Neodiprion lecontei: one gene and its partners. The protein of the gene in region 3 interacts with the protein of the main gene of each other region in a pairwise test. Links are inferred from orthologs where the notes say so. Each region holds a gene or a part of one and is shown on either strand. Other genes may lie near its edges. The genes, in order: ecotropic viral integration site 5 ortholog, golgin subfamily A member 1 and ras-related protein Rab6.

Region 1 (3,760 bases), on a different chromosome or scaffold from region 3:
GGAACGTAAATTTAGGACTTCCTTCGTTATAAAAATAACGTTCCGAAAAGTTGCTCCCATAGAAAATTCCCTAGAAACGTAAATACAGGACTTCATACGTTATAAAAATAACGTTCCGAAAAGTTGTCCCATAGAAAATTCCTTAGAAACGTAAATACAGGACTTCATCCGTTATACAAATAACGTTCCAAAAATCTGCTTCCATAGAAAATTCCCTAGAAACATAAATTGAGGACTTCATCCGTTATAAAGATAACGTTCCGAAAAGTTGCTTCCATAGAAAAATCCCTAGAAACGTAAATTTAGGACTTCATCCGTTATAAAAATATTGTTCCGACAAGTTGCTGCCGTAAAAAATTCCCTAGAAACGTAAATTTGGGACTCCATCCGTTATAAAAATAACGTTCCGAAAATTTGCTTCCATAGAAAATTTCCTAGAAAAGTAAATTTAGGACTTCACCCGTTATAAAAATAACGTTCTGACAAGTTGCTCCCGTGAAAAATTCCCTATAAACGTAAATTTAGGACTTCATCCGTTATAAAAATAACGTTCCGAAAAGTTGTTCCCATAGAAAATTCCCTAGAAACGTAAATTCAGGACTTCATCCGCTGTAAAAATAACATTCCGACAAGTTGCTCCCGTAAAAAATTCCCTAGAAACGTAAATTTAGGACTTCATCCGTTATAAAAATAACGTTCCGAAAATTTGCTTCCATAGAAAATTCCCTAGAAAAGTAAATTTAGGACTTCACCCGTTATAAAAATAACGTTCTGACAAGTTGCTCCCGTAAAAAGTTCCCTATAAACGTAAATTTAGGACTTCATCCGTTATAAAAATAACGTTCCGAAAAGTTACTCCCGCCGTTGCCGACCTGGACGACGACGACGCGACGGCGGAGGTCGCCGCGCAGAAGGTTCCGTCAACCCTGCGCCGGCTTCATCGACCTCCAAACGAAACCATCGTCGAGCTGCAAACGGCGCTCCTCGTCCGTCTGCGAGACTCGCGAGAGCCTGGATACCTAACGCGGTACCGAAGCACAGTGTTGTGTCCGACCTCGTCGACGTCATTGTCACGTCTCGACCTCTCCGTCTGCCGCACACCTCGGAAAAAAACACACACACACACTGTGAATTCAGAGTCATACGTACACTTCGACATTCAGATCATGTAATTCCACACCTTGTCAGGTGCAATCGAAATCAGTATTATACCTATATATTCTTTTCTTTGCCTGAGTTGACGTCGGTTTGTTTAATTTTATTTCTCTTACTTCTTCATAAATTTGGCGGGAATTTAACTCCAGTCAATTATACGCTTCACTAAATCATTGAATATATTCATTGAATTATTATACACGATTGTATTCTTCTTCTGCAATTTTTTATTTCAAATTTTCCAAGCATTTTTTCACGCGTCTCTTAATATATATACATATTTTTTTCTTCTATTTTCAACGATATTTCATCGATTACAAGAATTTTACTTGTCGGAGATAAATTATACATTATTTATTTTTATTCTTTTTGTATTTTAGAATTTACGTTTTTTTCTGTTTTTCTTTCGTTTTGCGGACTTGAAGACTTGCTCAGCGACCCGTTGCTAGCCAGGCTACAGGATCTTTCAAAAGTTGAAAATTTTTGTGCCGAAACAATACATAAAAAGGAAGAATATCGTTCAAGTTCGGGATCAGAAATCACTTTATCATGTTATTTCTCACAGGTCGCAGGCAGTGTTGACGTTTCTCTTGTCATCGTGCATTATTCTGGCACTGGAGTGATTATACAATACATACATATCTACATAGATATATACATACCGTGGTCTGCGTGATTGCAAATGAGCGAAAAGATGAACGTTACCGAGGCGGAAATACCGTAAGACACGGAAATATCATCCGCATCGGTTGAAAGGAAATTCAGAATCCGCGGGGAATGATACAAGGAAAAAGAAACTTAATCGGGAAATTTCTCCTTATTTGTGTTTACGTGTAATGTGATAATAATATACTTACGACACGGTTATAAATTATATATATATATATATATATATATATATATAATACATTAAAGATATAAAGATCCGAAGTTTAAATAAACTGAACGCATTGGCTGAATGGTTCTACTCGGTCTTTTGGCCCCGGCGGCGGCGAGGTGGACGCGAGGAAAAGCAACCAAGAGGTAATCACGTATTATATACAGTGATTGAAATCCTCCTTCCTTGTAATAATGCTTTCGTGATATCCTTCCATCATCAGCCAGCGAATGTCGTTATTTCGCGAGACGGGTAAAAATCAATTGGACTGATTTCCTCGACTATATACGTATAGATTTACATTTTTCTCCTTCGCTGTGTCGTAACTTCTTCTGATAATAATCACCTCACCTTTTTTTTTTTTATTTTGCCTAGGCAGGGTGGCCACACACCTAAAAAACCTGGAAATGTCAGAGGATTTTTAATTTAGTGATTGAATAAACTTAAAATATCAGTTTTCTATCACGGAAATTGGAAATGATCTTTTGAGGTAACAAGTTGACTTTTATTTCGTCGAGGAAAACAAGTTGGCTTAAACTGACTTTTTTGTACGTTATATGTTTCTTCTATTCGAATTGAATTTTGAACCGAATATAGGGTTGATAAACCGAACGATTTTGGTTTTAGTGACTTACTAGAACTGGAAAAATGTCAGAAAAAACTAGGTTTTAGGTCGTGGGAAATCTGGAAATTTCATACAATTTTTTCACAACAATTTGTGGCCACCCTGTTAGAAATATAATTTAAGAAATTAGTGTTGAAGGAAATCAATACGTGCGAGCATATTGAAAAATTTTATAATTATTGAAAATTTTTTTTTAGAAAAATATATATAATTTGAGAAGGAACGGAACGTTTTTGGTTCCATTTTACTATCAAAATTTGTTTTTGTTTTATTCAAGAGGAAATTGAATTCTGAAGGTATTAATTAAGGTTAAAACATTTACTAGCCTAAATTTACATTTACAATGCCCGAAAGTATTTTGTAAAACATTTTGTACTGCTGGATATGTACAGTCTGTGGTCTAATTTGTTATAAATTTTTTTTCTTTCTAGATTTCAAAACGCTTTTGAAAGAAATTATTGAAAGTTTTGAAAGAAGCTTTTGTTTTGTTTGCTTCACAAGCAAAATTATTTGTCTCTTAAATTTGCCTCTAATATGAATGCTCTTCGATTTTACGGTGAAAAATTTCTCCGCAATTTTCGTTACAAGACGTAGCCTTGAACCATTGCAAGTGAACCGTTACGGTAACATTGCGTAAAATCGTAGTTTTGTAATTAGAATGAAAAAAAGGAAATACCTCGCCACGGACGGTGCTTCTGCAATTCATGATTCTCTCTCTGTTTCCCAAGTATTGTTCCAATTATGTCAGCCAAAGCCAAACGCGATCGTCTTTCCAAATGTAGCTGAAACTATAATTTCTCGACCAATTATAACATGGGTTTCAAAAACCATGCAGAGATCACGGATACTGAAACTTCTGTACATTTTACGACGTAGTTTATGAATATTGTTTTGAAACAATCGAAGAACAGTCGGAATATAGAAGTTGAAAGTTAATTTGAAGAACACGTGACCGACATTGTCGAAATCTCTGATAATTTTGGGAAAGATGGTAACATTGCCCTTTCCTTTATCGACCACTAGATTCGTCGATAAAACAGAACGATACAGCAACTGAATATACAGTAATGTATGTTTATTTAAAATCGCGGTTTTGTTTTTGG
Region 2 (3,760 bases), on a different chromosome or scaffold from region 3:
ATGCAAAAATTATCACAAAACAAAAAGCAAAATCATTACAGTATAGAAGAATGCCTATGAACTGGCTGACTAAAAATTATAACTATTACTATCGATAGTAATAATGTGGAAAATTCCAGCTATTTGAGGAATCAGGTTTTAATAATTGAGGTTTAAGGTGCGAAAGAACTGTAAAACATACATATTTGTCGGATTATTATTATTTAAAACCTTGCGACTCGTTGTGCTGTTAAAATATATATCAAGACCGCAAGCACAAGATGGTAAGATTTTTACCTGATAAAATATTCAACAGTGTAAATCAGAGAACAATTAGCATTGTGAATCGTCTGTGATATGTGTTAGACGATAATCTCCTTCTGTCGCAAGACATTAGGCAACACTTGTTAAATCGAATTGGCATACGGATATTAAAATTAGGTTCTTACAACTTATTCAGCTGTACAAAAGACACAGAATTTACACTGTTAATAAGACCCTGATAATTCTTTTCGAGTCATAGTAACATCGTGAACAATATCAATTTAGTGTAGTCAACTTTAATTACATTCGTTCCATCGATATTTCACATCATCGTGTTTACACGCTTTGAAAAGTTTGAAAAAGAAGTAGTTCAACATTTCTTTGTACTCACCTGTACGTTATTCAACTCGTCTTCGTAACGCCTGAGCCTCGATACCTCAGTTTTGAGACTCTCTACCTCAGCGGTTGCATGCTTCAGATGATGCACTTTTTCGTCTACCTCCTGCTCTTTAGCCAGTAGCTGTTAATCAGATGAATATGTTTTTGAGATAATTCTTTGATACTCCGAACACAGTTCCATTTAACACGATAATTAATATAAACTTACAAGATGTTTGATCTTTGCCATTTCTTGTGTTTGAAAACCTTCCAACTGTTCAGCATCTTCTTGAAAGCTGTACAGTTTTTTTTTGTACTCTGCCAAAGAAAATTACACAAGAAATTATAACTGAGCAAAATGTGAATTTTGATTACAATTCAAATTGCATATCGCATTTTTTAGAAAAAATTTCTTCTAGCACTGATATTACATCTGATTTTTTCGAAGTACTATTTGTTAGTCAATATTTCTGTACAGTGAGAATGAGAGTACTAAAAATTGACAAATTAATATATGACAAACACAAGAAAACATAATTTTTTTGCTATCAATCATTGCATGCCGGTTGCATTTGTACAGAACTATGTAATGGATTGTTCAGATTATCTCATATAAATATCAAAGTGACATTTTTCAACATATGTAACATCTTTCTCCACATACCTTCAGCATTTTTCAAAGCAAGTTCAGTCACTCGTCTGGCATCCTCGGCTTTTCTTCTTTCATCCTCAAGCTTTAATTTCTCCTTCTCCTGTTTATCCAATAATTTTTTCCACTCCTTCTCTCTCTCCTGCAGCCTGACTTTCCATTCTTCGTCTTTCTTTTCCAACTTTTTTACAAGCTCGCTTTCTCTCCTCGCCAGTCTTTTCCTCCACTCATCTTCTCTGCTCTCAATTCTTTTTATATCCTTAGATGATAATTGCATTCCATCACTTAGTTTATATTCAAAACTATTCTCTCTTTTCAGCTGTATCGGTGGCGTCGGCGAAACTGTATTCTCTTCTCTCGAACCATCCAGTGATACCATAGAGCCACTAATACTGCTCGTTGAACCGGTCTGCAAGAAATAATCAGACAGAGGGTAAGAAAGATATAAAATTACAAAATTACAAAATTAGTTGGCAACGTCATCATATGAGCAAAAAAATGTTATAAATTCACTTGTTTTCTAAAATCTGATTTGGTTTTCTTTGAGATAATAAGGTGAGAGTACGATTGCGAAACATTTACCTGAGACGTGTGCCGTGTGCCAACGTTACGAACGTTTCCAGCTTTTCTGACAACCGTGGAAACGTCGCTGCCAGTTTCCTCGCGTATTTTGTTTTTCAAGCTCACAAACATCTTCACAAACTATATTTTCTTTGATTTTCCGGATATTGCTAAGAGGGTGGTATCAAAGTTGAAGTCTACGATATATCGTAGTTTTATACAAGCTGGTTGTCAACGTCACGTCACCTGCCTGCCGGCATCTACTGATAACGAATGATAACTACCTACTATTATTATTTCTGTTTTTTATTGTAGCTGCGATTTAATCATTTCTTCTATTAAGTTCCAATTACTTCCAGCTGATAAAAATCCATTACACATATCAATTTAGAATAAAAATGTAGTCTTTGATTTTTATATTATTACTAACACTGTTGCCGAGCGACGTTTAGTGAAAATATTTTGCATGACGGAGACCACTGTACGATTTCTACCACATTAAAAAAAAGCAAATAGTAAGAAAGAAAACAATACTTCCACAATTGCAACCCGCGACATATCTCTGGTCATAATTATTCACCGACGACACCGCTGTGATGACGTAATTCACAAAGCGCTTATAATCGAGTGAACCACTTCGGTGAAATTTTCTTCATGCAATAGCGGGACTTTTGAAATTTTAGGTTCGAGCGACTACACCATGTTCATGTTGCAAAAAAAGTTAGTTACGTAAAGGATAATTAACCCACAAATTATTAAATACATGCATTTGAATGCCAAGAGGTTTGACAGGCTAAAAATAACGAGCCCGAGGAAAATTTTAATAGCAACTTCGACTGACTCCTGCATGTTGGTAACCGTGAATTTTGTCGCCATTATTAAAATGCCCTACAGAGAGAACCAATAGAAATCGCGATGCGAGCGACCTCATGTTTGCATTCCGAACCACGTATCTTTCAAATGTTTCGGTAGAATTTTCGGTTAGACGAGTGCATTGTGAGTGGGTTGTAAGGGCGTGTGAATTCTGTCAAGTTTTTATCGGTGTTTTGAATGGAATAGTAATGCCGTAAGGAGTGACGTACCTTCTCAAACATGATTCGTACATCTCCAGACGATACAGAGGCATCGATCAACTATTTTGAGACGTAAGTTTTACACCCTTTATTCTACGCTACTTGTGTGTATATTTACGTAGTCGAGCACGGGTGTACGAAGCGTCAGTCAATGCTTGGCCGACCGGTTCGTTCGTCAGTAGACTGCAATGTTCGTTTACTTGCAGCCGGCAGCTTAGCTATTTTTAACTCACCCCGTTCGTTACTTGTAAATAAAGACAGGATTCTTTTGATAAGTAACCAAAAGTCAGATCGAAACTGGTAAACCACAGCATTTTGACACAGTCTTTGTTCTAATGTTAAGCGTGTGTAATACACCGGAAAACTTGTAATAAATTATCATTATTGCTGTGGGATAAAAATACACTATCGGTTGTATGCGACGAGTCAATTAATTCCGGATCTGCCGATGCACTTAGGCTGAAGTGAAATATGACGCAGCCAATAATTGTATTATTTCGGGGTAAGGTTTTTGTTTCGTGCCACAAGTTCAGCGCCTGATTTACGCAGTCCCGTGCTACACGTGTAGTGCGAATTGCAACTCTCGTAGGCGCTGTATGCTGTATTTTTCCCTATTTACAATATATCAACAGTCTATGATGGTATTATTAAAGAGGGACGATAGAATTGTTTCAAAAATATAGGAAGACCGATTCTAACTAAGCAGTCATTCTTTTTCACCAAATTCTCTTTTTTCGAAAACTCTCTACATCCTGTATGCAAGCTCGGAAAGGTTTCGATTTTGTCGCCCCAGATTTTCGTACTTCACAACTCTTTGTACGATCAAGTGGATATACGAAACTCCTTTCACAATTTT
Region 3 (3,760 bases):
GTTTGTAACTCAATTGTGATCGAATGTCCTTATAGAGATAGAGCAAATAACAGAGCTCGGCAACAGCAACAGTAATCGATCGTGACTACTCAAAGTTTGATTAATTCTATGGCAGGATATAAATAATGGAAGCTGAAATATTCTGCTGTAGAAAACTGTTTATAATACTTAAATGCTTTGTTTAATTATTTTTTTCTCTAGTACCTTGTCAATGCGTACTATCTAGCCAAGGTTCACACCTGCATATTGCATATATGTAAATATGTAATAAAATTTATAATTAAGCTATTATATAAATTACCATACACCATGTTGTGCATAAACCTACAAAATGAATGTATTCATTTCATTGTGACCAAATGAACCATCGTTACTGATTGAGTAAAAAGTGTAATAAAAGGAATTTATTTTGCTATACTACTTTAACTCATTGCGAATATCTGTATTTTGTACTATTGACATTGAATTTTAAACTACCACATAATGTAAACATCTTACTTTTATGTATGTGATAAAATTATAAAGCGGGAAATTATATTTCTATGTACATACATATATTCGTTAGTACATATACACGTTCAGTCAACTTTGTTCATTCAAATTTGTGAATTAAAATTCATGATTTTTTCAAAGTTTCAAGTTTTTCTTTCTGTTTTGAATATTGGGAATCCCGCATAGAATAAGAAAGTGTATAGGCTAAGACTGAAGCTGTAATATATTATGTTGTAAAAATGAATAAGAATTCCTGTATAATGCATTTACAGAATTGTAATTTGAACCGCTGGATCAGATAAAAACACCCTGGATACGGTAATAATGACGGTGTTCTACATTTACCAATTTGCTTATGGGGGGGCTTACAATATTAATTGATTATGATTCGGTAACAGACAAAAATTTCTGTATCAAAACTCGCCTCATCGTTAGCGTCCTCCACTAGACGTAAGTTCACCGGACTTGAAAATGACCAATCATTTAGAAATCTTTGGTCCCACCCGCGGTTGTATGCACGTATGTACATACATGGGTTGTACGTACCACGCGATAATGCGAGCGATAGGTGATTCGGTCGGCAAGGGTAGGACTGTTACATTCTCCTTTCACATTTTGACACATGGGATCTTTATACATCGTCATCTAGCGGCGAGTAACGAAATCGTCGGACTTTGGCATGATGGAGAAACGAAGCGTTAACACAGTGGCGTGACGTCACTTCCCAGTCAAACGTGGCTGCCGTGCCGAAAGGAGTGGCTGTTGAATCTGTCAAATTATATGGTTATTTGGAAATATTAATGACTTTTCCCATCGGCTACGGCGCGATATAGTGAGATTTGATTATTGCGTGTCAAGCAAAGTGAAACGAAGCCTCAAAATATGTCGTCTTCGGGTGATTTCGGTAACCCGCTGCGAAAATTCAAGCTCGTTTTTCTTGGTGAACAGAGCGGTGAGCATTTTGACACATATTTCAATGAATTTAAATTTAGTTTCCCTTAAGTTCTCTACTTTTTTCTTATCCACCACTCCGTTGGAGACTGAACTTTCGACATCTATACTACGCATGAATTTTCAATAACGTTCTAGGTTATAAATCGATATTTTCCCCTGTCCGTCTGCCGTAGCTGACGTGAGTCTCAAATCCGATTCGGTACTTGCAATAATACTTCGCATCGCTGTTATATATCGTTATTTATCGGACAAATAAATAATACAGCTTATTGTACCGATATCACTGGATCAAATTATATCGGTGATTGCTTTTTTTTCTGTTTTGCTGTAAATGAAAATTTACATTAATACTAGCAATCGATTTTTTTTGTTTCATCTTCTTTTTTGTTACGAATAAGAATTGAATGCTTAAATATGAAATGACCTTTTATCTGGAATCTCTAGCATTTATCTATTATAAATATTGGTATAGTAAACTGGCAGCAAAAATAAACTAAGATTAACTATCAAGTATAAGCTACTCTATTTGTACGAATGACTAATTGTAAGAGAAACAAAAAAAAAAGTAGCATTTTTCATATCCTATATTAATATTATTGAACTACTTAAATCTTCTAAAGTGATTGAATACTAGTGAAAAGTTACCAGAAAATTTTGCCAAAAAATTAAGAAATTATAAGAATACTGTTTTTTATATGCATGGAAAAAATTGCTTTATTAAGACATGGTTAATAATATTTGACTTTTCATAATAATGGTCATGTGTATTAGTTCACATTAAAGTACGTATTTACATATTAATACAGTTCCTGGGAGATGAAATTTACAGATTAATGAACAGTTATTCTGAACTTGCCTGAGCCACAATAAGCATAATGTGATTCTCCATGAACAGTTACTTGCTTACTCAATGGAAAAACAAAAACACAATTCTGCCATGTAGTTACCGGCTTTTTATGCCCCGCTCAATTGAAATTCACGCCATCAACATACAATGAATTAATAGTCTAATTTATCTAGTTTTTAGTGTATGATGCATGATGAATAACTATTTTTCAATAATCCATAATTTCATCAGATTAGGGAGAAAGATGTGAGTTTACTTTGAAAAATGAAGTGAATACACATTGAACTCATGTCGATCTATTGTCTCAAAAAATGAACACATTTAAGCAAGCTAAAATCAGCCTTTCTGACATCCAGAAGTGTTATTTGACTATTAAAAATAACGATTTTTTAACACAATGACCTAGGTGTCAAAATATTCTGAGTTTATTTATACAAATTCTCAGTGTCTTTAATTATTATTGAGATTAGTAATTTCTGACGCATGGACAGGGGAAATTCCCATAAATTTTTGGCAAAAATAATTCAATTTTATTCAGAAAAAATTGCAGAGTAGAAATACTATTGCCCTGTTTTAAAAATAACTCTGTTAGACAAACGTCATCAAAATATCTTCATCAATAATGAAAAACGGTGAAATATGAAATGATATACAATCAGTGAATTTTGTATAAACGGAATAATTTGTTCACATCTTTGTAATTATCGGCAATTATTGTAGTATCAGGGGATGTACCTCAGCATGTTTGATCCTTAGATCATGACTGATCTTCCTTGTGATTTGTTAAAAGTTGATTTTTTCAGAAAAATGATCACAGCATTATGAAACAGTCTTCTCAATATTTCGATGTTAACAAATACAGTTCAACTTGTTTTTGCTATTGATCTTGAATTAATTAACTGCGAGTTATTTAACACGCCAGAAATTTTTCATTCGGCCGGGCTACGCATTAGTATTAATTACAGACTACGTCAACTATTTCTTAGTATCATATATAAAATGATCAGAATTTTATTTCGTGTTATTTTTATTGAATAATTTGATCTTTTTGCAGTTGGTAAAACCTCCCTCATCACAAGGTTTATGTATGATAGCTTTGACAACACGTATCAGGTGCGTATTAAGATGTTTATAATTATAATTATAGTTGGAGCCATCTCTGTAATTTTTCTTTTCATTTGGCCACTATACAGTCCCGCTGCGAAAATTGATTACAAATTTTATTCAGTACTCGTAACTACTTTTACTTACTTGTAAAAGTATAAGACACTATTTATATCACTAGTTTAGAATACACATAAATAATAGATGGACAGGAAGCGATTAATTTGCATAGAAGCACTAAACGAGATTCAACCGATTTGTCGAGTTCATGTTAGTGTTTTCACTTTGCGTTTTTATTGAACGAGTAGGCCATGTACAGGATGATATTACATTATTCTTCTCACCTCAAGTTTTACATTATCA

Evidence for each region.
Region 1: the proteins of ras-related protein Rab6 (region 3) and ecotropic viral integration site 5 ortholog interact in a two-hybrid assay, tested with the Drosophila melanogaster proteins (2 studies listed by BioGRID). The link is inferred for Neodiprion lecontei from reciprocal best matches to the Drosophila melanogaster genes Rab6 and Evi5.
Region 2: the proteins of ras-related protein Rab6 (region 3) and golgin subfamily A member 1 interact in a two-hybrid assay, tested with the Drosophila melanogaster proteins (2 studies listed by BioGRID). The link is inferred for Neodiprion lecontei from reciprocal best matches to the Drosophila melanogaster genes Rab6 and Golgin97.

What each region holds. Positions count from the first base shown.
Region 1 is NC_060266.1:6,842,371-6,846,130, reverse strand, and holds the start of ecotropic viral integration site 5 ortholog, read left to right. Parts: upstream 1-1,013; 5' UTR 1,014-1,168; exon of another isoform or gene 1,169-1,188; intron 1,189-1,720; 5' UTR 1,721-2,113; coding exon 2,114-2,178; intron 2,179-3,760. UniProt on the Drosophila melanogaster protein: Functions as a GTPase-activating protein (GAP). During border cell migration in the ovary, acts as a GAP for Rab11 and is necessary for the maintenance of active receptor tyrosine kinases at the leading edge.
Region 2 is NC_060261.1:30,074,696-30,078,455, reverse strand, and holds the start of golgin subfamily A member 1, read right to left. Parts: upstream 2,425-3,760; 5' UTR 1,964-2,424; coding exon 1,853-1,963; intron 1,680-1,852; coding exon 1,286-1,679; intron 940-1,285; coding exon 851-939; intron 764-850; coding exon 635-763; intron 1-634.
Region 3 is NC_060263.1:23,059,939-23,063,698, reverse strand, and holds the start of ras-related protein Rab6, read left to right. Parts: upstream 1-1,199; 5' UTR 1,200-1,374; coding exon 1,375-1,444; intron 1,445-3,347; coding exon 3,348-3,406; intron 3,407-3,760. Other genes in the region: protein FAM8A1, read left to right, coding at 1-75. UniProt on the Drosophila melanogaster protein: Protein transport. Regulator of membrane traffic from the Golgi apparatus towards the endoplasmic reticulum (ER). Mediates membrane trafficking during egg chamber growth and organization, possibly upstream of exocyst component Sec5.